3 linked regions of the Coturnix japonica genome follow. The protein of the gene in region 2 purifies or fractionates together with the protein of the main gene of each other region. This does not show direct contact. Links are inferred from orthologs where the notes say so. Each region holds a gene or a part of one and is shown on either strand. Other genes may lie near its edges.

Region 1 (8,115 bases), on a different chromosome or scaffold from region 2:
ACTTGAACCCCTTCCAGGCTGCGTTGAGCAATAGGGCCATCACGTGTCGTTGTTCTCTTGGCCTGTCCCCAAGGGAAGAGCATGTGCACTGGAATGTCTTGTTTTGGTAGGGTTCAGAGCTTGGTTTTCTGTTGGGTTTGTTGTTATTGTTGTTCTTTTTTTTCCCTTCCCCCTTTAAGGAGAGTTCTGGAAACTTTTACAAATGGGAACATAAATGGCAAAGCTGCTTTTTTTTTTTTGCTCTACTTCTGGGGTTTTGCTTTAATGAGATCTCAGGGGATGAGGGTAACAGTGGTGGTGCTTCAGAATGCACCAAGATCATATGAGGGTAATGGTGGTGGTGCTTCAGAATGCACCAAGATCATAGAGTCATGGATGGGCATCGTATTAATCATATAGAAGCTTGCCATGGTTCTGTTTCAGGACCCAAAGCCCCACTGAAATGCAGGCACAGGTTCTGCCTTATAAACAAAGCACACTGCTATTAGGAGAGCAGTCACTGTGCCTTCCATTATTGGAGCTTAACATCAACATATTGACAAGAGGAGAGGCAAAAACCTTTGCTCCTAAATACCAGCTTTTAGGGCATCATCTTGGTGCTTTTCAAGCCTTATTTAAAACCAGAAAGCACCACGAAGTCTTTGTATCTCTCTGCATGTGGGTAATTTTAACTATTTCTGGGTCGATTTCAGTGCTCTGAATTGCAGAGCAGCCCTCATCGTGCTTGTAGTACCCAGTTCTTAAATATCAGATGACTAAATGCTGATTGAACAAATCTCGGAGGCTGTTTTCTTTGTAGTAACAGTTTAAAATCCTGCATCGACTCTTTTTTTTGGTAGCAAAACTGATGCCTTGTGTTGCAAAATGGTGCCTCAGGAGGCAAGCTTGGTATTTCCTTATCTGTTCTATGGAGGGACGCTGTGCTCTGGGTAGACTTGGCTCTTTAGCAGGTGATTGCTTTGAAGTGACATCACGACTTCTCTTACATCCCTGCAAGATTTAGAAGCTCTGATTGCCCTCCTGCGTGCTCAGCACCAGCACCAACTTGTAGCATGGCTGTGCATTGCACTACAGCCCTGTTCAAATCCCAGTACGTTGGATTAACCAGAAGATTTCATTTCTCAGCCCCAATATCACACCTCATCTCTGTGTAAGTAGAGCCTGCGGTTTGTCTTAGTGCTGGCATTGAAGTTATGATGTTTTGTTGTTGCGAGGATTTGCTTTCCAGATTCTTTGTAACCTCTTGTTTTTAGGAGAACATGGATCAGTTTTTGCTTCACGTCGCTGTCTTGCCTTGTTCTGTGCTCACCTGGAAGCCTGCAGGGTTTGCACTGCCTTGACAGTGCTTGCAGCTCATCCTTCAGTGCTCCAGGTTTGCTGTGGCAATGGGAATCCCTCTCCCCTGCTTTGTGGGGTGGATCATAAGGTCTGCATAATTATGCCCACAAAGGCTCCTAGTAGGGGCAGGAGCTGTATAAGACAGCTGTATGCCTGCAGCAGACCCATAAGCACCCCCCAGTACACATACAATTCTCCTTCCCTTTGTGGATCCCTCTGTCTTACTCCTGCAAAAGCAAAACCAAAGTGCTTCAAATAAGAGCCCCGACAAACTTTTCTCCTTAAACCGTCTTGTTAATTTTTAAAGCAGCAGGAATTGGGCAACAGCAAGCTTAATTAGGGAGGGAAGATCTGAAAGCAGCCCAGTGTGCAGTGATTGCTGGTTGCATTTCTCAGCACCTGTTGGTACTCAGTGCCCTTCCTAAAGCGTGATTGAATTGCAGTCACAGCCAGGATAAACAGAACAGGTTGTTGTTAAGGTAGGAGAGTGCCCATGGTTAAAGGGCTGCTGTATGGGGTGGTTTCCAGCCCCATAGCTGTCCATTCTGCTGTCTGCTTAAATCAGAAGTGATGTGATGCAGACAGAGAGGTGTCTGGATTTTCTGCTTGGCTGTCCTGGATGTTATTTTGGCACAGTTTGCTGAACACCATGTTTGAATACTGAACGTGGCTGATATACCTGGGTGTGCATATAGGAGTCCAACCTTCATTGTGTGTCTTATTGTGTGTGCTCAGCTCTTCTCCTTTCACTCCCTCCATTTCCCCGTGGGTTTTGTCCGTGTATTTCTGGAATAACGAACGCACAGCGCTGCTCTTTTGTTTCTCCTCACCCAAACAAAGCTGTCATGAGTACAGAATCACACGACTTTGCCCCCTCTGCTTTCTTGTAGGTCAGCCAACCTGCATACCCAGTGCTGTGGGCACGCTGCCCTCCACCAGAAAATGCTGGATCTCATTCTTTCTCCCCAGTGCTGGATCTCCTGCTGCATCCCATGCAAAGCAACGAGAGTCCCTTTTATTGCTGCCACAACCACCACCCTCTCACTGCTGCTTTTTTCTTACCATTCATTCCTGTTTCTTTCTCTGCCTTTTTGGGATGCTTCAAATTGCTCCTCGATGCTGATGTGGTTTTGAGGACTGTTTGGCTGTTCCAGGGAAGTACATGCAGCTGCTTATTTGTCACTAAGGAGATCCGTGCTGAGGTTCTGCCAGGTTCTTTCCCATCCTGTTCCTGCTCAGTCCTTTTGGCCACCCATAGGGAAACGTGATATCGTCATCTCCAGTCCCTGTCATCTTCCAGTCCCCCTCATAATGATCTGCCTGAGATTGAGGGTGGATTTACAGTCCTTGGAAAAAAGGTGATTTCACTCCCTCTTGGGTCTTCTCTAATGATTCTCTGCAAATTGGGGCTGATCCTGGATTCAGGGCTGAGATTTTTTGTTGTTCTCGTTATTGTTACAGCTTCCAAGAACTGTCCCGTGGCCTTAAATCACTGGACTGCATCTCTAAAGCAAATTGATGCGGCCTTCAAAGCGAAGCCCAAACACTCATAGCTCATGTTCTTGGCATCGCCTGTTTCAGATCACTTAGAGGGTACGTCTGTGTTGTTCTCAAAGTGAAGCATTGTTGGTATCCTGTTGTCTTGAATCCCTTTTAAACTGCAAAATGCAGAACACATCCATATATCCCACATGCAGATCGTGGCAGGAAAGCAAAGAAGCCGGTGTAGACTTGTTTTCTTCCTGATGCTCCCTTAGAAATGAATGTTGTAACATTTTTGTTAGGCAAAGGCTGCATTGATGACAGTTGAAGCTCCTTAAGGGGGCTCAACCCTGGAGGCATTTGTCATCCCTTCAGTGGAAGGTGGAGGTTAAAAGCTGACAGTTGATTGTTAGATAAATTTTTGCATTATTTCCATATTCCAGTGGGTTTTTTCACCTGGCCTTGAGCAGTGATGGAGGAGGCTGGTTTTGGGGGGGGGGGGGGGGGGGGAACCAACATGTGAATTATGGATGTGCAAATCACTGCTGCGTTCCTGGCAGGGAACTGCTCAGGTAACAGCTCTGGGCCTGTTCTAATGATGGCGTCGTGGTAGGATATATTGGAATGGAGGTGAGTAAGAGGAGGTGGTGGGACACATCATGAATGCATGGGACTGAGAGAGGATGAGTAGTGCCTATTCTCCCCCATGCAAAGTGTGGCACTAAAAGGTGACCTTAAGTTTGGGTGCACTCAAGAGAGGCTTCTGCAATCTGGGAAGTCAGGTTTGGGCTAAAAGCCATTGGGGTTGAGGATAGGATTATAGGATATTATATATAGGATAGGTATTTTTCTGTTATCAAGGATAGTGGGCCATGGTGGTGTTGATCTGATGGTCAGATAAGATGATCTCAGTGGTCTTTTTCAAGCTTAACAATGCTGTTATTCTTTTTAGGACGTAATTTAGTGGGCATGGTGGTGAATGGTTGATGGTTGGACTGGAAGATCCTAGAGCTATTTTCTAACCATATTAATTCTATGATAGCTCCAAGTCACTGGAAGAAGAAGGAGGAATAGGAACCTAAAGTCTTGATGGGAGACTCTTGGAGTGTGGGCAGAAACTTCCTTGGAGGTGTGGTTTTCTCAGCTGCCTGCTGTTCTTTATATATAAAAGGGGAAAAAACATAAAAGTGTGCCACTAAAGCAGTTACCCATGTCCTCGACTGACCTCTAGCATGGTCAACTAATACCTGCAATGTTGAAACAGCTGATGAATTATTAACTTCGGTGCTGTGGTGTCTCTTGGCCGTTGGTGTTATGTTGATTCGTCTCGATGGTGGCGGGGCTGGTCGTGTTTTAGAGCTGTGAAATGAAGCATTGGGGCTGAGGACAATGTCCAATGAGACACCCACTTTTTTTGTGTGTGCTCTGATAAGAGCATAAACCAGGACTGATGGAAGCTCGTATGAGATGTTGCTCTTTGAGGTGTCCCTGGGTAGATGTGGCACTGAAGGATGTGGTTTGGTGGGTGTAGGTAGACATGGTTAGACTGGATGCTCTTAGTGGTCTTTCCAACTTAAATCATAGTATGGCTTGTATTGGAGGGGACCTTAAAATATCATTTATTTCCAACCCCACTGCCATGGGCAGGGTTGCCAACCACTAGATCAGGCTGCCCAGGATCCCATCCAGCCTGGCCTTGAATGCCTCCAGGAGCATAATGCATTCATGACTCTATGATTCTGTTTAGGAACATGGCTTAGTGGGTGTGGTGGTGATGGATTGATGGCTGGATTTGATGACCTTAGTGGTCTTTCCAACCTTTTATTGTTCTTTACCTTTTGTAAAGAGTTCAATTTTATGGATCTAAATAGGATTAGAAAAGCGCTACCAAGGTGTAGTTAATATTTGGTGGCTGGCATGGATGTGATCTAAGAGCTGAGGCTCAGTTTTAAGGACAAATAAAGCTGCTCCTTTGAGTCGTGCTCATTCAGCTGTGAATGGCTTAGAGCCAGGTCATTTTCTTTTGCAAAGAATCAGATTTGGCTTTCAGTGTGTGGAGAGTTGGTTGAGTTTGGGGTTGGTTTCTTGATGTGTTTTTCTTTTAAACTCAGAATTAAACTTGGGAGATGTGCACCAAGAGCAATGCTTTTAAACAGTGGTGGAATGGAACCATGAAATCAATGTGGAGTTTGCGATAGAAGGAGTTAATGATAGATGCCATCCAAAATGTGTCCTCGTGTCCTAGCTGATCTCAAACTGTTTTATTTTGAGGGATGATTCCTTTTTTAGGGGCAGAGAGAGGTATCTCCTGGCTGATGCCTTCAATCAAAACTTCATTAGTGGGAGACTTCAGAGCAGGTGGAAGGTAAAGCTCTTTTAGTGTGTCCTGTCTGCTTGAAGCCAAATGAAAGCTGTTTTTTCTCCCATCTAGTGCCATTAATTCAAGCTGGCCGACCTGCCCTCCCCAATCTTTAAAGCCAGTCCAACTGAATGCGAATACCGAGGGATGGTATCATGTAGCACAAGCTTTAAACCTCACAATAATCAGGCTGCTTTCCTGCTGAGGTCATTTGTGACAGAGGGGTCCTGTGTACAGGGAGATGTGGCAGTGCAATGCTTCCCAAAGCATCTCCATGACTTAGGGGGGGGTTGGGAAAGGTGATGTCCTGAGCTGATTTCAGTGGAAGTTTGGGAATGGCCTTGCCTTGTAATCCTCTAATTTAAGACTGTAAACTGGAGGAATGAAAGAGCCCTTCCAGGAGCAAAGGCACAAATGTTCAGACTAACAGATGTGACTCAGCACGGTGATGCTGGCTGCTCTTCAGTTGCTGCCCAGCGCACTCCCTCCTTTTTCCCTTTAAGACCAGCCACGAGGAAAGCAGTGGGAATAAGGGAGCAGAACGCTCAGCACTTTGTTGAACAGCCTGCCATGGTGGGGAACTCGATCCTCCCAGCAAGCAGAGGAATCCATGTGCGGTTATTGGGGTAAGCTCAGATCCCAAAAGGAGAACACGACAACGGTGACAGGCAGTACAGGAGTTGAGATGTCCGAAATCAGATCCTTGTAATGCAGCACCAGAGCCTGTGTTCCTTGAAAGGGAAGGTATGCACCGAGGTGTCAGCTCACCCTCCTCTGTCCCATGCAGACCGTGCAGGGAAGTGTCCTGCTATGAGCTGCTGCTTGCTTTTTTAGGATTGTGGGCACTAATGAGCTCGTGTGCCTGGCATTGGATTAAAACAGATTCTGGCTTGCTTGTAGCTGGTGAGAAAGTTACGTTAGGTTGTGTTTTATGTTTTACTTCTTTGTTTCTGCCGTGTGTTCTTTTGTTTGATGTGAGCAGAAGGTAAAGGTAAGTTTATACACGTGGTGTTTGGGCCAAGAAGGATAAGAGTTCACCAGCAAATAGCCACGCTCTGTTAACTTACCCAAAGGCCAGTGAGAAGAACAGGGGGAATCCCACAGCTCTAGTTGTGCAAACCTGAAGAAGTATATCCCTATGGCTTCAGCAAGTGAACCCATAAGCCCCATTTTGATTAGCAGTTGAATTTCCCCAGGGTCGTGAGATTTGCATCGTGCCAAATGGGGAAAAAGATATACATGTATTATGTACAGGCTGCCCAGAGAGGTTGTGGGTGCCCCATCCATCCATGGAGGTGTTCAAGGCCAGGTTGGATGGAGCCCTGGGCAGCCTGGGCTGGTATGAAATGTGGAGGCTGGTGACCCTGCCTGTGGCAGAGGAGTTGGAGCTTCATGATCCTTGAGGTCCCTTCCAACCCAAGCCATTCTGTGATGATTCTATTGTAAACTTGAGCTGCTTTACAGTGAGGTGCTCAGGATCACCTTTACAGGGTGATTTTTGTTGTAAAAAGGAGAACCTTTCAGCGCTTCAGCATGATGCATGGGGGAAAAATACTGCGGGTTAAGCAAAGATCCGTGTGTTACGCCTGCTTAGTCATACCCAGAAACGTGTTCCGTGGGGGTTAGTTGTGCAGAGAGCAATTTCAGACTTGTGCAAAGGTGCCTTGGGAGATCCCAAGCACTTCTTGCACCTCTGCATATGGTCTCAGTGCTTCCTATGCTTCTTAGTCTTCCTTTTGCTTTTAACTGGAGTTGGCTGTAGGGATCGATGAGGAACTGCTTTAGGTCTGCCCTGATGTCTCTTGTCACAACCAAAAGTTTTACTCCTCTACTAAAAGAGTATTGCGTGGTTTGATGTTGTTTCCTTTTTTGGACTTCATTTTGCCTGCTTGCAAGAGCTTCCTGTGCAGCCTGGCTGGGGTGTAACTGGATTCTGCAGGCTGCATTAGGGCTTTTTTGTGGTTTTATTGCTGGTTGGTTGTTGTTTTTTCTCAGAGCCTCTGAATACATCCAGGTTAGTGAGCCCTTAAATTGTCCTTCCTGCCTTTTAGTGGCTCCCAAAGTCACTTTCTTTGCTTCCTCCCTGAAGCCCAACGTTAGTTAGGCCAGTTTATTCTCAGAAGCTTTCTGTAGGCTTGAGTGGTACAAGAAGCATTGTGAGACATGAAAGCTTTGTAATCCCCTATGGCTTTTATTTCTAATAACTGGGAATCTACTGCTGAATGCTGGGAGAGCCCACTGCCAGCTGTGAAGGGTTTTACATTCCTTCCCAAAGAGCTTCCAGCAGGAGATGTCCCTTCATTCTTCAACAAGATGCAGGATGGATCAGCAGATCAGAAGCCGAAGCTGCTGGGCTCAATCCGTGCCACTGCTTTTGGGTTGGAATTGATAACTGCTTCTCACCATTCCTTTCTGAAGTCACCCAGGAGCTACAAAGGCTCTGCAGCACTCACGTCCTTCTCACTAGACCTGAATGGAGCTGACCAGGCTGTCACATGAGTCACAGAAACCCACATCAGCCGTTTTTAGGTCATTGCCAGACGGGGCTAAATTTAGCAGATGAGCCACAAGTGTGAGGCTTTGCATCCAGCTCCTGCCTTACAGTTTCCCTACAACTGCCCTACAACTCCTCGTACATCTCTTAAAGGTGAGGGATGAGATTCTCCACCCCTTTTCTGTTCTGAATCCCACAGAGCACAGCCAAGACTTGCTTGCGGAGTTGCTCAGTGACAACGTATGAAGCAGAAGAAGGGAAGAGCACAGTAATAGGATCTGGAGCTTTTCACCTCACGGATTATTGCCTTGAATCCTTGTCTGGGTTGCCAGTGACGCTTCCCTGGGAGGAGAAACCTGATGGTTTATCATCCAGCTGCATCCACAACCACATTTCAATGCTCCTGGAGGTGTGTGCCAGTCTGGGGGGGAGCAGCTCACAC
Region 2 (7,610 bases):
AGAAAGCTTATATTAAGCCAGTGTCATCCTAAAGCAGAGCTTTAAGGTTGTGTCATTCTCCATCCATTTCATTGTTTGGGTTATCTGTGGCAAGGGTTTTCATTTTCCTCCCTGTTTCTTCCTGAGTTACTCTGTGTATGCCACAGAAAGAAGAGGAAGGATAGGTGAAAAGGCAGAGCAAGGCAGTATCATATTCTGTTATTTAAATGAAAACATTCAAGAAAGGATGCATTGCGTGTAACTGTGACCCTGACTCTCTAGGTGACCCAGTGTGGTAAGAGAGAAGATTTATGGGAGATTTGCTAAGAAGCAGAGATGGGGAAAGCCCTTCTGCTGTCTCCTTGTGTGAATAAGATGAAAATTGGTTAACATGGGTATTAGATGGAATTTAACCTGTGCAAGTGGGACAGACCACCATGGACTGGAATTGTTACTGGAAAACGTGTTGAAAAACTTCATGGAATGATGAGAAATTTCATTAGCTAGATATTTAACTACACAGAATGGCAAAATGAATTTGGCTGCAGTATTGAGGCCTAGATTTCACCAGCAACTACTTCTTACATATTTAGTATATCTATAATTCTGCCACTGATGATGTTCGGGGCAATTCCAGAAGACACGGGAAGCCCAATGACTCATCTGATCATAGCATTATCGAGAATGATGTTCCTGGTAGCAGATAAACAGCCTAGATAATCACATCCAGTGATCATGTTCAGATTATGTTGCACTTGGAGGAACTAGTCTTCATTAATGTTAAACTCATTCCACAAATTATCTTCTAGGAGAAAAGCTAAATGCAAAAACAGGGGAATTTTACCCTGTGTTTCTTCAAAACTAGCCAGAAATGGCAGAGAATATTTACCAATACAGTTGTATGCACTTTGTTATCTTATAGTCACCCCGATGGCTTACTAACATTACCAAGAAGAGGAAGCTAAGAGTCATATTTTTCATGTAAAATGAGATAGTGTAGGTTTTGTTCTTATTAAGGAATCTTGAGGCCATATTTATACAAAGAATAATGAGAATAAAAGGTCATAAAGAATTTCTTATTTTCAGCTTTAAGCATGGGGTTCAGGATTGCTCAGAAAATTGCATATTTGAAAACTGTGCTGCTCGGCTGATAGAATGTGTCAACATGCTGACGATACTTTATTTTGTTAATGGTAATATTGTCCTCATGCTGTGCAGAAAAATGAAAATTGGCGGAATTAATAAGAAAAAATGATAGGGTGTTTATTTTAGCACTCTTTAAAAATGGATTTTGTTACTTTGTATAAGGACCTGTAAATGCATTAGCGAAGTGTTACAGGTTTATTTAGCAAGGCTGCTTGATAGAATTATTTTAATGCTCTTTTTAGAAGGAATTAACATAAAGGACTGGAAGTCTTTTCTTCCACTGAAATTTAGCGGTCCCGTTAAGCATGTACCAGCTTATTTTCTAGCCTCACTTTTATTCCAGCTGTGACTGGGAAACTTTAGGAAACCATTCCTAAAAAGCACCTTGAGGTGACTGTGGTGGATTTGTTTTATCATCATTACAGAAACTAATCATTGTATAGAAGAAATCATTCAATGAATGTTGTTATGAGAACAACCTTTAGCACCTTCTAAAACGTTAGAAAGACATCAGCCTTTAGGATACGTGCCAAATGCTTGATATTTATAACCTTGTAAGCAGTGCAGCCTGAATAACAGGGATTACTGTTTTAAATACGTTTTCTGTAACCTTCACATTAAGTGTTGTAATTTCTCTTTATGATCAGATCTTCAGAAGGAATTACTGGTGGGCAAAATGAGCTGTGTATCCAGTACGCAGTCCTGTGGTCAGAAAGCCTTTAATTCAACAACTCTACTTCACCAATTGTTAAAAACAGAAATGTTCTCAGATGCAGGATGATCTTCATGGACTTAGTACTGAAATTGCCTTTGTGGCCATCAGGCTCCTTTGCATTTGGGGGTGTGAGCTTACAGTGCTAGACTGCAGCATCTGTGGCTTATATATGGGTTGTAACCTCCAATAAAGCTGTTAGGCAGACAGAAAATGTTGCTATAACCTAAACTGTTAAAGCCTGAATTGCAGGTGTGTCCAAGTTGTTAGTCTAAACTTTATTCTATTCACAGCCAGTAGTTTCAAGCTTTGTTCACTTTGGTTCTTGCCAGAGGGTTGTTTTTAGGGTGCGTCCTTAGGGAAATGAAATTAATCTGAAATTGAAGAAAGGTCCTTGTATGTCATTGCTCAGCTCTGAGCAGCAAAGTGCTGGGGCACAGTTGGTAGCAAATAATACCTGTTGCTGGTGACAGCGCCATAAGTGGTTGACACTTATCCACATTGAGAGTGGAGGAACAGATGAAATAAGGGATAACAGAGTATAAAATACAGTAGTGTGATGTTTGGAAAACTGTTTCTGTTTGTTATTTTATGCCAGTACCAAATATGCATGAGGTGCGCTTTTGGACCACAACAGGGGGCTGGTCTGTCACACAGAGCCAGCTCTCACAGTGACATCGTCTGTAGAAGTGACAAGTTAAGCAGCTGACAGTTCTATTTTTTAAACATTGACCTGAATGCAGGGCTTTGTCTCCACCCAAATATATGTTTGATAAACAGATTGATAAACCAGTTGTTTCTGGTTGTTTCGTCTTTTAAGATGTGTAAATACATATTTATATCCTGTATATCCATCCTCATTCTTGTTTTTTCTTTTGCTTCTGCAGTTTATTGTGGAGTGTCATGGGAACACGCTTCTCCCCCAGTTCTTGGGCATGTACCGGCTCACTGTCGATGGAGTTGAAATATATATGATTGTTACAAGGAATGTGTTCAGCCATCGTTTATCTGTGTATAGAAAATATGATTTAAAGGTGAGAAATAACTGCAGATGAAACAACTGAAAAAGTAGCTGAAAATCTTCAATATAAATGCTAGATTCTGCTGTTGATTGAAGATTGCTCAAAGTTTTAATGAATTTAAACCTGAGCTGTGTAGTAATCATGATTAGCTGGTGTACTTCTGCATCTAAGCTTGGCAAAGCTGGACTACAGATTTATCTGTATTGTGAATGTTTTAAATTGAGTGATTTTACCAAAGATACTTGTTATGTATAACTAATGGCTAAGGGTGAAACACATCACACAAGTAAGATAAGAATTCTGCTCACTGTAGGCTTTTCTCAACATTGTGGAAGGCCGCAGCTGACTGTCCAGAGGACTTAGATAAAATGACTTCATGAGGTCATTATTTAAACCAATAAAATGCTACTATAAAGTACATCGCTTCTACAGAAGCTTCATATTTCCTACTGCATTTTAAAAATAGCTCTGAGAAAGAAGAGAATTGCTCTTAAAATGCAGAATTTCTTTTGTTTTTATCATAAGGTGTGTTTTAGTTTTGTTCTAAAATGTAATTTGGCTGATATTTAATGTTCAGCACTTAGAATAAAGGCTTGAAATACATTCATAGTCTTTCTACATAAGGGATTGTTTTTATTTCCTCCATAAAATCTCCCTTAGAAACCTATTCATTCTAATGCATTTAACTTCTGTGTTGAATCACTACGTGCATCTGCATACTTATTTTAAGATATTTATTTAGCTCTTATTAAGAGGTTTGTAATGCTACATATTGCAGCAGCCATTCCTAGTTTTTTAGCTAGAAACTGAACCTGATGTGAGAACTGATTTCCTGATTGTTGACTTAATAGTTTTCAGTATTTGCCAGAGCTTACAGAAAGAAGATGTTTCTAATTCTGTTTTTGCTCTTCTTTGAATTTACCCTCTCAGAGTTAAGCTGCTTTTCATTTGAAATAACCCAGTTGATGCATGATGTGACTAGTGGAGGGGCAGAAAGCAACTATTCAACCATAGGCTGCCTTTTTTTAGAGTATTTTCTCCGGAAGTGCCACTAAGAATGAGTGACCAATCCCATACCTGAATGGGTAATGAGTAACTTCCAAAAATTAGAGAGAACTACTTGTGTTTTAGAGCATCATAATGACCATACGCATTAAAAGAGGGACAGAAGTACAACAGCAAAAATCAAATTGCGTATAATACATTCTTACTGTTGATCTAAGCAGCACTGCACTTGCTGCTGCTTACCTCTGTGAATACTTCTGTATACTGTTTGGTTTGTCCAGATAGGCAAAATTGCCTTAAAGATAAACTTCCCTGGCAATTTAAATTCAGCATCAATGTCATATTATTACTGAAAATTACCTCCCCCCAGCATATTTGTAACGACACTGCAAGGATTATAAATAGGTGTTTTTTTCTTCATTTCATTGATACAGCATCTGCAGTTACAGGTTCAGACTCCTTTTTTGTGGGTATTTCTGACACCAGCTTAGACAAAAGTCTCCACTACAGATCAACGTAGGATTTCAAAGTTATTTTCCTGTCCACCGAGACTTAAGAAAAAGATTACTTCAGTGATAAATTTCTCAACCTCCAAATTTTTTACTATTGCAAATGTTTTTTTCCTCATTTGGTTTTCTGCTGATCGTTGTCCAGACCCAATAGTCCTGGAGGGTGGTAGAGCAAAGAATACACTATAAGTAATTCAGTAAACTAAAATATTGTAGACTTTTGTTGAAATTCTTTATCAGCTAAAGATATACTGAAATGAAATTTCTGCTTGCTGGACTATACATAATACTGAGGGTCTGCTGTCCATTTGTCTTTTCTCTTTGTTCTTTCTACGTTTTCTCTGCAAACAACAAAATATGATATAAAAATGTGTGGTTGTGAATCCTCACATTCTTTAAACTAGTGTAAACCCTCTCGAGTACTTCTTTACCCTTCCAACAAGAGAGAGTTGATGTCCCAGTCTTTCAATATCCAGTGCTTACCACGTTATTGTAATGAAGGTGTAATTATGGGTGCTATTTATTGCAGTGCTGTTACCTGATAAACTCTGGGTACTTAAAGGCATAGGGTCCTGCATCAAGAAATTTGTTAAGAAATATGTACAGCCCTTTTTTTGCCACCTCCAGCTTATTCAGAAAGTGCCACATTATGTACTAGTTCCAGTTGTTTAAAAATGAAGTATCTTAAAATATCCACTGTGCCATTGGCAAACGCTGTAAATCTTTTGGATCCACTGTTGATCTCATCTCTTCTTTTGACTTTGTGCTGCTGTGAGGTACATTGTTCTTGTTTGTACTTTGTGATCTTTTTAAAATAGATTTGTGTGTCTTATGTTGTGTGACATCCTTTTAAAATGTGTATTACGTGTGCCCAAGTTATATAGAGTAGGCTGTCCCACAAGGGTACTGTGGGACAAGTAGGCTGTACATCTAAATTGTCACAGACAGGTCAGAAGTCTGCCAAGCCAACTGAACTTCCAAGGTTGTCTCAGAATTAGGATGAGACATGAGGAAGCAACCCCCATCAGTCATAGAGGCAATAGATAGAGAGCGTTTGAGGATTTAATCCATCCTTCTTCTCACATGATACATCTTCTTCAAGTTATGGCAGAAGTTTTAAGACATTCTACCTCCTGTATCACCTTCTTAATTTCGGAAGGATGCAGTTCATCCACTTTTTGACCTGTTATCGTAAAGTTTTCAAATTAGTTTCTGACATATGCACATTTTTAGATCCATTTTTTCTGTTTCAGGGCTCTACTGTGGCTCGAGAAGCCAGTGACAAAGAAAAGGTATGGTGCATTTCTGTTTACTTTTCAGTTATCTAAACTGCTAGCTAGTGTCAGGACAAGCATAATCAGTGCTGTTCTGCCCCCTTTCTTTGTTTTCTGTCATATTCTCCCTCTTGAGTTCTACCTTATTCCGTCCTTTATCTTTCCTCTATTTACTGCAGACCTTTGACTGTTGGTTTGCATTGGTGTTGAAAGTCCAGAGGTAAGTGAGCCACTCGTCTGCCTCCTCCTTTTCCTTTTTTCTCTTCTCTTCTTAGTTTCTTCAGGGCCTGCCCTGTTGTAGGAAAACATCAGGAACTTCATTCTCTTCCTGCTTCTTCATCTTCTTTTTCTTGCTCTTTAATATAAAGATTTATAGATACAGATTTATGGAACTATGTGATGGGGCGCTACTCTATTGTAAATGTAAAAGTGAATCAAACCTTGAATTATGATAACCATTGGTTATGTAAAGGTTGTTCAAACGAGGCGACAGCTGACAGGCATGGACATACATAGATGTAATGAGAGTGAGCAGCCTCCTTCAAATTCTATAGATGGAACTTTGCTCTTAAAGCAAGTTGGTCACTTTGTTTGTCTCCATCTGCAACTTGTGTTCATTTGGAAAACTGAACATTCTCAAATTGTTCTGTGAGGTTCCAGTGAAATTCAGTGGCACTTAAGGTTTGTCTGAAGATTCTGCAGATAACTGACAGCGGGACATAGTCTCCATTCTGTAAGACTTCTTAGATCTCCAAATTTTGAATGGTCTAGGAACTTGTGACACTAGTTTTCCTAAGTTTCCCATAATTCTTCTGAATTACGCTGTTGCATAAGATCATTCAGCAGTTTGCTTAAAAGACTTCATTTTGTTTTGTCCCCAAATTCCATTCCTATCACTTGTTTTTATCCTAAGCATTAATCATACCATACCAGCCTCTTTAACTCTTCTGTGAATCACACAGCCGCGGTAAGGGGCGTAAAATAGCTGCCAGCGATGCATTTCCAGCTGCAAGAAAAACTCTATGTGCTGAGTTTTTCCACTTCTTCTTAAGGCATGGCTGAGCACTTAAAATTCTTCCAGTGGTGTGCAGCTAAGATGTCACAGATGTCACTTACCATTGCAGTAATCTGCATTAGCTTTTCTTTTTCTGTTTTGGGCCCTTAAGATCATTTCTTGAATGGTCTTCATTCTTTTCTTGCAGTCTGTTTAGTAGCACAGCTCTAGTGCTTTTAGAACATGGATGTTAACTCTTCAGGTTTCTTGCAAGTGATATCCAGTGTCACTGAAAGCCTCTGCTGGTAGTGCTGAAATTATCCGATAGAAATGAGGAGCACAAATTACTTGGATGTGACTGCTTCAGTACTATTACAATAGTAATGCTTGGAATAATAGTATGTTTTATTAATACTACACGTTTAGCTCTGAAAGAGATGATACTATGCAGATATTTGGTGCTTATGTTTCGAGGAGTTTTAGGAATATGTCTCAAAATAATAATAGATAAATCATGATATACTGATTATATATAGCTATTAACTATATATCTAATTACTATATAATTAGTGCAAACCTAAAAAAATCACTAAATTAGTGATTAGTTCTCAGACAAGTCCATGGCAAAATTGCTATTGAAATTGATTATAGTTGATCTGTAACAAGGCTGTATAACTATATAGAAAACTTATTCTCCATGTATAAAACATGAAATTTTAACTTCAGCAAGACCAATGATAAAATTCCTATGAACTTCTGTATGTCTGGAGCCTCCCCTTTCATTTTGTGTATTTATATGAAAGCTATGTAAAAATTGCTCCCCAAGATTCTCCTTCCAATCTTCTAAGTTTCACACATTGTAGTCTTTTCAAATGCATTTGATTTCTCAGAGACAGAACTACATGAAGTGTATTGAGCTGTATGCAGACAGTCTTTGGCTGCTAGAACAGACTCTTACTACTCATAATT
Region 3 (8,410 bases), on a different chromosome or scaffold from region 2:
TATCCTTTGCTGGCACAGGAGGAGCAAAACCAAGAGGTTTCCATGAGCACAGAGGAGAATTACGGGCTATCAGAGCATGGGAGAGGTGAAGGAACAGCAGGGCTCCACTCCAAAGGTTGACAAGGCTGCAATGCAAAGCACCACGAGGTCTCAGCCACCCCACGAACCGCTGCTGAATAAAAATAAAACAGAGCACGGGATTCAATAAAAATCAATGTGATTTGAAGCGTCCAGCTGTTAAAGAGTAACTGGGAATAATGAGTGCCTTATAAACGCCTTCAGGTCAAAGGTGTGCTGCCTGCAGCAGTGGCAAAGCTCTATACCAGCAGATAAGGAGCCTGGTCCTTGGACTCCAGGCTTCCAGCATTGCTCCCTATGGGACACAGCGTGATGCCAGGATCTCTATGGGCAGTGAACGCCCATCAGGCTGCACAGATTAACCCTACCAAAGCAGCTGGACACCTCCTGCAGTGCAAACACTGATCGGTTCCGCTCGCTGGCTCAGCCCCCAGCAGATAGCAAGGCTTGGAGGGCTGATAAGGGATAGAAACAGGGAAAGCAGAGCCCAGGAGGAGCCTCTGTGGGCTCAGAGTGATGGGGTTGGAGAGGGCACAAAGTCACCCTATGAGCAGGGAGGTAATTGGTGTTAATTGGAGCTACCTTGCTGGATTAAGGTGCTTTGGAGCCTGAAGGCCACGGAAACCTGTTTGTGCGTCATGGCTGATGGGGAATCAACTGTAATTAGTGACCATTTATAAATGAAAGCCAACTTCTCACAGCATGAAGAGCACACAGTGCAGTCAGAGGGCCTGGGCAGCCCTGCTGTGCCAAGCACCTCACCCCCTACATCCATTCGTGGTTGGAAGATGCTCCATCCCAACGTCATGGCTGTAAGGAACCAGCATCACACAGAGCTGAGCCCTTCCTGCAAGCAGGGTTGATTCAGCTCCATCAAGGAGGGATAAGAAGGGAAGGATCCTCATGCCCCGCTCACAGCCCAGGCTCTGCTAATGGGCCTCCAAGGAGAAGCTGCCCCATCCTCCAAAGGCAGCAGGAGCTGAATGACAGCACAGCCTGTTTGACCAGCTGGAACATCATGTCCCCGGCCATTGGAGTTCTCTGGCCGTCACCAACCTGAAGCAAACAGATTGTGCAGCAGTAATAAGCTCGTTACCAAGGCCACTGTATTGATCCCCAAGTGGAATTCAAAGGCTCAGCTCAAGCAACCAAGGGGATCTCCCAAAGGCAGCCAACACCTCCTGCTGCGATGGGAGCCCTGCTGTGACGGGGGGGACCCTCTGAGCCCCTCAAAGCAACCTAAAGTCAAACAGAAAGGGTGGCCCCGTGCTGCCAAAGCATTGGCACAAGGTCCCCTATGGGCAGTGCTTGAACGTCACCGTGATGCACCAAGCCAACACGAGGCAGAGTCCCCAGATAAGCAGCCTGGATCAATGGGCTCAGCAGGAAGAGAAGCAAAGCCCTCTGCAAACAGCAGCTCCCAATGATAACGAGTGTAAATCTGGATGTGGTGCTCAGCAACTGCACGAGGAGCAGGGCACGGTCCTCACCTGCAAAGCCCTGGGCTGAACCAGCTGCTTATGGGCAATGCTCACTACCTGGCTGCTTCCTGAGCAGGGATGGCACGACCAGGATCCACTTTGGGGTGGGATCCTGGCACAGGGGAAACTGTCAGAGTCCCAAAGAAAGTATTGGTGTAGGCTGGACCCAGCCCGGCTGTGTGTTTGGGGAACGGCCTAAGGAAAACAGTGCTCCTCCCATGCCCACATCAGGGTTAGCAAGCAGGGCCAGGAGCCCCAGAGCTCCCCATCAGCTGTGTGAGCTGCTTCCCTGCTCCCAGCAAAGGCCAAATCAGCCCCTGTGCTGAGCAGGGGGACCCCCACCGCCCCCACACACTGCATTGCACATGGGTATGGGAAGGGAAAAGTGTAGGAGATGATAATAGAGCAGATGGTTGGGGAAGGAAGGAGCAGCTGAGCACACAGCATCTGGGCTGGGAAGCAGCAGAGGAGGTGGCCACAGTGAGGGGACAGGCAAAGAGAGGCAGGAAGGATTCAGGAGCAGCCAAGCTAAGGGATGGAATCAAAGGAAGAGCAAAAACAAGCGGCTCTGGGGGTTGATTCAGTGCAAGGGCAGCTCTATCCATGAGATATAGAGAGGGGTGGGGGGCTCAGGAGCAGAGATGTGAGGGCAGAAAGCAACAGGGCTGAACCCCAGCACTGGGAAGGGGCCGTGCAGAAGCAGAATGCAGCAAGGTCAGGCACTGCTCAGCAGCAAAGAGCTGCAGCACAGCCTGCTCGGGGTCCCCCCCCCCAGCTCCATATCCATGTCCCACAGCACTGCAGGGCCACAGCACCGAGCATTGAGCTGGAGCCCATTCCACCTTCAGTGCATGAATAAGCAGATCTGTCTGCAGAGGACGAGAGCGTCTGCCTGTCCAACAGCGCCCGAGCGTGAAGGTGCCTGCATGGAGATGCTGCGTGCAGGGTCACAGTAACAAACAGGGAGCAGGCATGCAAAGCCCCCCCAGCTCAAGGGCACACACACACACACACACACAGAGCACAGCAGGGAGCTCAGGGCTGCAGCAAACAGGCTGGGAAATGCAGCTCCAAGGGCAGCTGCAGGTCTGTGGGTGCAGGCAGCATAAGTAGCACCCAGGGAGCTGGGAGAGCACGCACTGCCCTTCTGTTCTCCTCCATCCCCAAAGCAAAGCACCCCCCACCAAAGCACAAGGCTCAGCATCGCTCACCTCTGCCTGCAAAGCTCTCCCTGCCCAGCAGCCCAATGGCTCCCACTGTTTTGTCCCCGGGAAGCAGAGCAGCAAAGGAGCTGCAAGAGGTTGCAGGCGACGCCAGCAGCTCCTGGAGCAGCAGCGGCCGCATTGCTGCAGGGAACCCCCAGCTCTGACGGCTGCAGCTCCGACTTCAATCCGATGGCGTGTAATCTTTTAATCTCTTACCTCCTGCTGTTTCACTTTTTCACCTTAAGCAAATCAGGAGAGCGATGCTGAAGGGTTCCGATGCAGCCCATGTGTTCCCCCTGTGCTCAAGGGGGGGCTCCAAGCTGGGGACACCCACCCCATGCACTGGGACAAGGCAAAGCTGCTCCCTGAGGAGCTCAGCTCACACAGCTCAGCTCCATCCCAGTATCAGGGCACACACTGTGTCCTCCAGCTCCACCTCTCAGCCATCTTCAATGCTGGCCACGCTCGGAGCAGCCGTAAGCAGCTTTGGCTTGCATTAAAACCAAGAGGCGTTTGAATGGTTCCATTGCAATTGGAAAGCATCTGAAATGCCCAGAGCTGGGGGCACTCAGCGCTGTATTGCAGGGTGATTCTCCATCCTTCTCCTTTCATCCTCCTGCCAAGGTTTCCCCTATAACTGAGCCCTATTTGCACAAAGCAGCCATGCAAGGAGAGCAGCAGCCCCGAGCGCTTTGTTCCTTGACCTCAGTTGCATTGCAAGCTCCCCAGGATCTCAATGCAACGCTGATGTTATCAGCATCAAATGCCTCCCGTGGCTCAGGGCACCTCCACCATCACAGCGCTGCAGTGTGACGGCTGCTCTTGGTGCTGTGCAATGCAATGCAATGCAATGCAACGCAATGCAATGCAACGCAATTCAATGCACACAGCAGCACAGCGAGGTAAGGAAGGATCCCAAACCAACCCGAGCACAGACAGAGCTCTGAGAACACCAGGATTCCCCCTGGATACACTGAGGTTATTTCTTATTCCGTGGGTATGATGCTCCAGGATTCATTGCTTGCTCCCAGCTCAGCCACAGCCTCACCCTGTTACCATCAGCTCCATGACCAGCCCAGCTCCATTAAATACAAAAGCAATAAGAACACAAACCCCCCCTACAAGCTCCCAGCTCCACATTCCTCCGCTCCTTCCTTCAGGCCACATCCAAAGCCTGAATAAACAGAGCTGGGCACGACAGCCTCCAACCCTCCGCTCCCATCACATCCCAGTGCTGCCATAACCACCCATAGGGGGGTCCCCAATGGGGGCTGTGTCCCCACTATGAGCACACGGGGACCCATAGCAAAGCACTGAGCCCAATGGGGACACCCTGAGCCCAGCACACAGCGATGTGCCCACCTATAAGCCCCGACAACAGCCCTACATGGTGGGGCAGCACTCAGCTCTCACCCCATGGCACCATACGGCCCCATACAAATCCATAAGGCCCTATACAGATCCATACGACCCCATACGGCCCCATACAGATCCATAGGGCCCCATGCGGCTCCATACAGATCCATAAGGCCCTATACAGATCCATACGACCCCATATGGCCCCATAGGGCTCCATAGGGCTCCATAGGGCTCCATAGGGCTCCATAGGGCTCCATACGGATCCATACGGCCCCATACAGATCCAAACGGCCCCATATAGCTCCATACAGATCCATAGGGCCCCATATGGCTCCATACAGATCCATAAGGCTCCATACAGATCCATACGGCCCCATACAGATCCATAAGTCTCCATACGGCCCCATACAGATCCATAAGTCTCCCCATTACGGCCCCATACAGATCCATAAGTCTCCATACGGCCCCATACAGATCCATAAGTCTCCATACGGCCCCATACAGATCCATAAGTCTCCATACAGATCCATACAGCCCCATACGGCCCCATACGGCCCCATAGAGATCCATACGGCCCCATACAGATCCATAAGGCTCCATACAGATCCATAGGGCACCATACGGCCCCATACAGCCACATACAGCCACATACAGATCCATACAGCCCCATACGGCCCCATATAGATCCATATAGCCCCATACGGCTCCATACAGCCCCATACGGCTCCATACCGATCCATACAGCCCCATACAGATCCATACAGCCCCATACGGATCCATACAGCCCCATACCGATCCATACAGCCCCATACAGACCGATACAGCCCCATATAGATCCATACGGCCCCATACAGCCCCATACAGATCCATACGGCCCCATACAGCCCCATACAGCCCCATACAGACCCATACAGCCCCATACAGCCCCATACGGATCCATACAGCCCCATACAGCCCCATACAGATCCATACAGCCCCATACAGCCCCATACAGCCCCATACAGCCCCATACAGCCCCATACAGCCCCATACAGCCCCATACAGCCCCATATTGACCCCATACAGCCCCATACAGCCCCATACAGCTCCATACAGCCCCATAGGCCCCATTCCAGCCCCTATCGATCCCGTTGTACCTTCTTGGGCGCTTTGGTAACGGTGGCCATAAAGGAAAACTTCTCAGCGTCCTCCGCCTCCTTGGCCTGCTTGGCCTCCTCACCGCCGCTGGGCTCCGGGCCCGACATCGTGTCTCGAGGCGGAACGGAGGGGTACAAGGGGAGGAGGAGGGATGGGCCGCCCCGGTTCGGTTCCGTTCGGTTCCGTTCGGTTCCGTTCGGTTCCGTTCGGTTCCGTTCGGTTCCGTTCGGTTCCGGTCGGTTCGCAGCGCGATGCGGCGGACACTGCGGGCACCGCGCGGGGCGCCGGGGGCGGCTCTGGAGTGACGTTAGTGCGTGATGACGTCATCACGCGGCCGCTGGATGAGTGAGGCGGGGAGATAGAAGAGACGGGATGGAAACGGGAGCGGCACCATGGCGCCACCTAGTGGTGGAAGGGGGGAATGGACCGCCACGGGAGGACTATGGGATGGGATGGGATGGGATGGGATGGGATGGGATGGGATGGATGGGATGGATGGGATGGGGATGGGTGGATGGGGATGGCGGGGGATGGGATGGGCATGGATGGGATGGGATGGGGTGGGATGGGAATGGGATGAAAATGGATGGGAATGAGGTGAGAAGGGATGGGATGGGTTGGGATGGAGGATGGATGGGTTGGGATGGAGGATGGGTTGGAATGGAGGATGGATGGGATGGGATGGGATGGGATGGGATGGGATGAGGATGAGGACATAATGCATAAATAAACAGATAAAAGAATGAATAAAGAAGCTTAACCCCACTATGATCTGATTCAGTCATAAATAAACTGAGAAACAGAGACATGGAATGGTTTGGGTTGGAAGGGACCCAGAGAATCCTCGCCCCCACCCACCTCCCTTCCATCCTCCTGGAGGGCTGAGCTCTCTGTTCTGCGCTGGGTCAGGGCAGCCCCAAGCACAGCTCTAGGGGCAGCCAGATCCAAGGAACAAGCATCCATCATGGTGGGGACGGGCTGGGATGGGCTGTAATGCACGGGGGGGGGGGTCAGCACCCTCAGCTCAGCCCCCCATGGTGCTCCCAAGGGCCACGTCCCTCCTTGATACGGGCTGATGGTGCTGCTGTCCATCCATCCATCCATCCATCCATCCATCCATCCATCCATCCATCCATCCATCCATCCATCCAGCACTGAATGGCTCCGCTTCCCCCTTGGGATCCCCATTTCCCACCCTTACCCCCCCCATACCCAGCAATGGGGTTACACACATGTACCTCCCCTCATTGCTCGTCCCCCCTCCAGCCCCACAGCGATGAACCCACAGAGCCAGCAGCGTTGCAGCATCGCAGCTCATAGTTTTCCCCTTAACCAAAACTGCTCTGTCTGACCGCAGATCGGGCCCGGGCCGGTCCTCACTCGACACAACCCTCCATCCCATCAGGGTGGCCGGGATCGCTCCGTTCCGTCCCTATAACCCCCAGTGGGGAACCGCGGCCCCGCGGTGCTTTCCGGGACGGCGCTGCCCCGTCAGCAGTCTGCGGCCCCATAGGGAGGGCTGTGGTCCCTGCTGCCCCATAGGGAAGGCTGTGGTCCGACGGTGCCCCATCCACAGCCACCCCAGTGCTGATGCTTCATCCCTCCCCCCCCCCACTTCAGACTTTGGGTTTTCAGCCCCATCTCGGCACCTCACCTGCTTTTAAGGTGTAAAAATCCCCCCATGGGGGCTCTCCTTTAGGAGGGATGATCCCCCTCCCTGCTGTAGGAACATGGATTGGCTCCATCCCCCCATTAAAGCTCCCAAAAATGGGCTCTGAGCTTTTGCTCCCCCCAACCCACCCTTAGGGCTCCCAAAACTGTCAGTTTTACCCCCAAAATCTCCTCCCCGTGCCTTCTCCCCCCATTTCTCCCCCCCTCCCCATGGCCTCTCCTCCATCCCCACTGCCCCACAGCCATCATTCAGCTTAACCCTCCATCAGGGCAGGGACTCGCTGCCCCCAGCCCCCCCACAGAACAACCCGAACATCCTCTGACCCCAATCACCCCCCCACACACACACACAGACCATAATCACTATGGCCCAGATCCGGACGGATATATATAGGTCCCACTTCCTTGGGAAGGGGATGTGGAGCTGGGAAACCCCCGGGGCTGCAGGGGAGAGGAAGGGCTGGGCTGAGTCAGCTGCCCTCGAGGAATCCTGTTTGTCAGCAAACACGGCCCTATAGGGCCCACATGGGGCTCCCCCCATAGCGAGCAATGGGGGGCTCATCCTACAACCCCAAAGCTGCAAAGCCCTGAGCTGCACGTCCACCACAGCGCAGGTGACCCTATAGAACTCACATACCCCACTGAACCCCCCCCAAACCTTCCCATAGGGAACTGGATTAGCACATAGAGAGGGATGGGGGTCTGGGGTATGGGGGGGGGGGAGATAAGAAGGAAATGCCTCGTGCTGCTCTGCCTCTCCAAGTGAAGTGCTTGCAGGAAGTGAACCTCAAGTGTGTTTGCTTTTAGCAGCTGCTTTGCCTCCTCCTGCATTCATTGCAGGGTCGGGGGGGGGGTGTCCAGCCCTGCACCCCCCCCCCCCATTGGCAGTGTGGGGATGGGGGGTGGCAGGAAGGCCGGGTGCATCCCAGTGACCGTGAACTATTGTATGGATCAACAGGAAAACAGGATCAGGGTGAGCCCTGATCCCAGCCATACCCAGAGCTCACCCTGCAGCCCCCACTACATTGAGGGGGGGGGGTTATAAGCATTGGATCAGCCCCAGCTCGGGGCCAGAGCAGCCTGGGGTTAACACACCATCCTCCCCCAGCCTTTCCCATAGGAGAGGGACAGCCCAAAACGGGACCAAAATGAGACAGCAGAGATAGAGAACTGATTTCCCACCATCCCTATATCTGCTATGGGACCAAGTGCCTCCCCCAGCCCCAAACTGTGCCCCCCCCCCCCCCCATTCCCAGCTCCCACACGGTGGTGCTGCACGTCCATCTTTATTAATAACATTAAATATACAAGCTGTCTTCTCTTCTTTTTCCTTAAATAGACCTTCTTTAAATGACTTTGTATAAAATATTTCCACCATTTCGCTGTACAAAAAAAAATGAGACAAGAGGCAGAAATAGCCCCAAAAGCTGCCGCCCCCCCCCCACCTTAAACCCCCCCATTTCCATGTGCTGAGCCAGC

What was found.
Region 1: the proteins of PIP4K2A (region 2) and UBE2H purify together in Homo sapiens (affinity purification with mass spectrometry; 3 studies listed by BioGRID and IntAct, with this or other methods). This does not show direct contact. The link is inferred for Coturnix japonica from reciprocal best matches to the Homo sapiens genes PIP4K2A and UBE2H.
Region 3: the proteins of PIP4K2A (region 2) and AHCYL1 purify together in Homo sapiens (co-immunoprecipitation; 3 studies listed by BioGRID and IntAct, counting the BioPlex papers as one, with this or other methods). This does not show direct contact. The link is inferred for Coturnix japonica from reciprocal best matches to the Homo sapiens genes PIP4K2A and AHCYL1.

Annotation. Positions count from the first base shown.
Region 1 is NC_029516.1:912,064-920,178, reverse strand, and holds the start of UBE2H (ubiquitin-conjugating enzyme E2 H), read left to right. Parts: upstream 1-3,894; 5' UTR 3,895-3,909; coding exon 3,910-3,949; intron 3,950-5,109; coding exon 5,110-5,185; intron 5,186-5,682; coding exon 5,683-5,805; intron 5,806-8,115. UniProt on the Homo sapiens protein: Accepts ubiquitin from the E1 complex and catalyzes its covalent attachment to other proteins. E2 ubiquitin conjugating enzyme that transfers ubiquitin to MAEA, a core component of the CTLH E3 ubiquitin-protein ligase complex.
Region 2 is NC_029517.1:15,957,841-15,965,450, forward strand, and holds part of PIP4K2A (phosphatidylinositol 5-phosphate 4-kinase type-2 alpha), read left to right. Parts: intron 1-2,724; coding exon 2,725-2,871; intron 2,872-5,626; coding exon 5,627-5,665; intron 5,666-7,610. UniProt on the Homo sapiens protein: Catalyzes the phosphorylation of phosphatidylinositol 5-phosphate (PtdIns5P) on the fourth hydroxyl of the myo-inositol ring, to form phosphatidylinositol 4,5-bisphosphate (PtdIns(4,5)P2). Has both ATP- and GTP-dependent kinase activities.
Region 3 is NC_029541.1:1,676,838-1,685,247, reverse strand, and holds the start of AHCYL1 (S-adenosylhomocysteine hydrolase-like protein 1), read right to left. Parts: upstream 5,554-8,410; 5' UTR 5,368-5,553; coding exon 5,260-5,367; intron 3,199-5,259; exon of another isoform or gene 2,981-3,198; intron 2,893-2,980; exon of another isoform or gene 2,771-2,892; intron 1-2,770. UniProt on the Homo sapiens protein: Multifaceted cellular regulator which coordinates several essential cellular functions including regulation of epithelial HCO3(-) and fluid secretion, mRNA processing and DNA replication.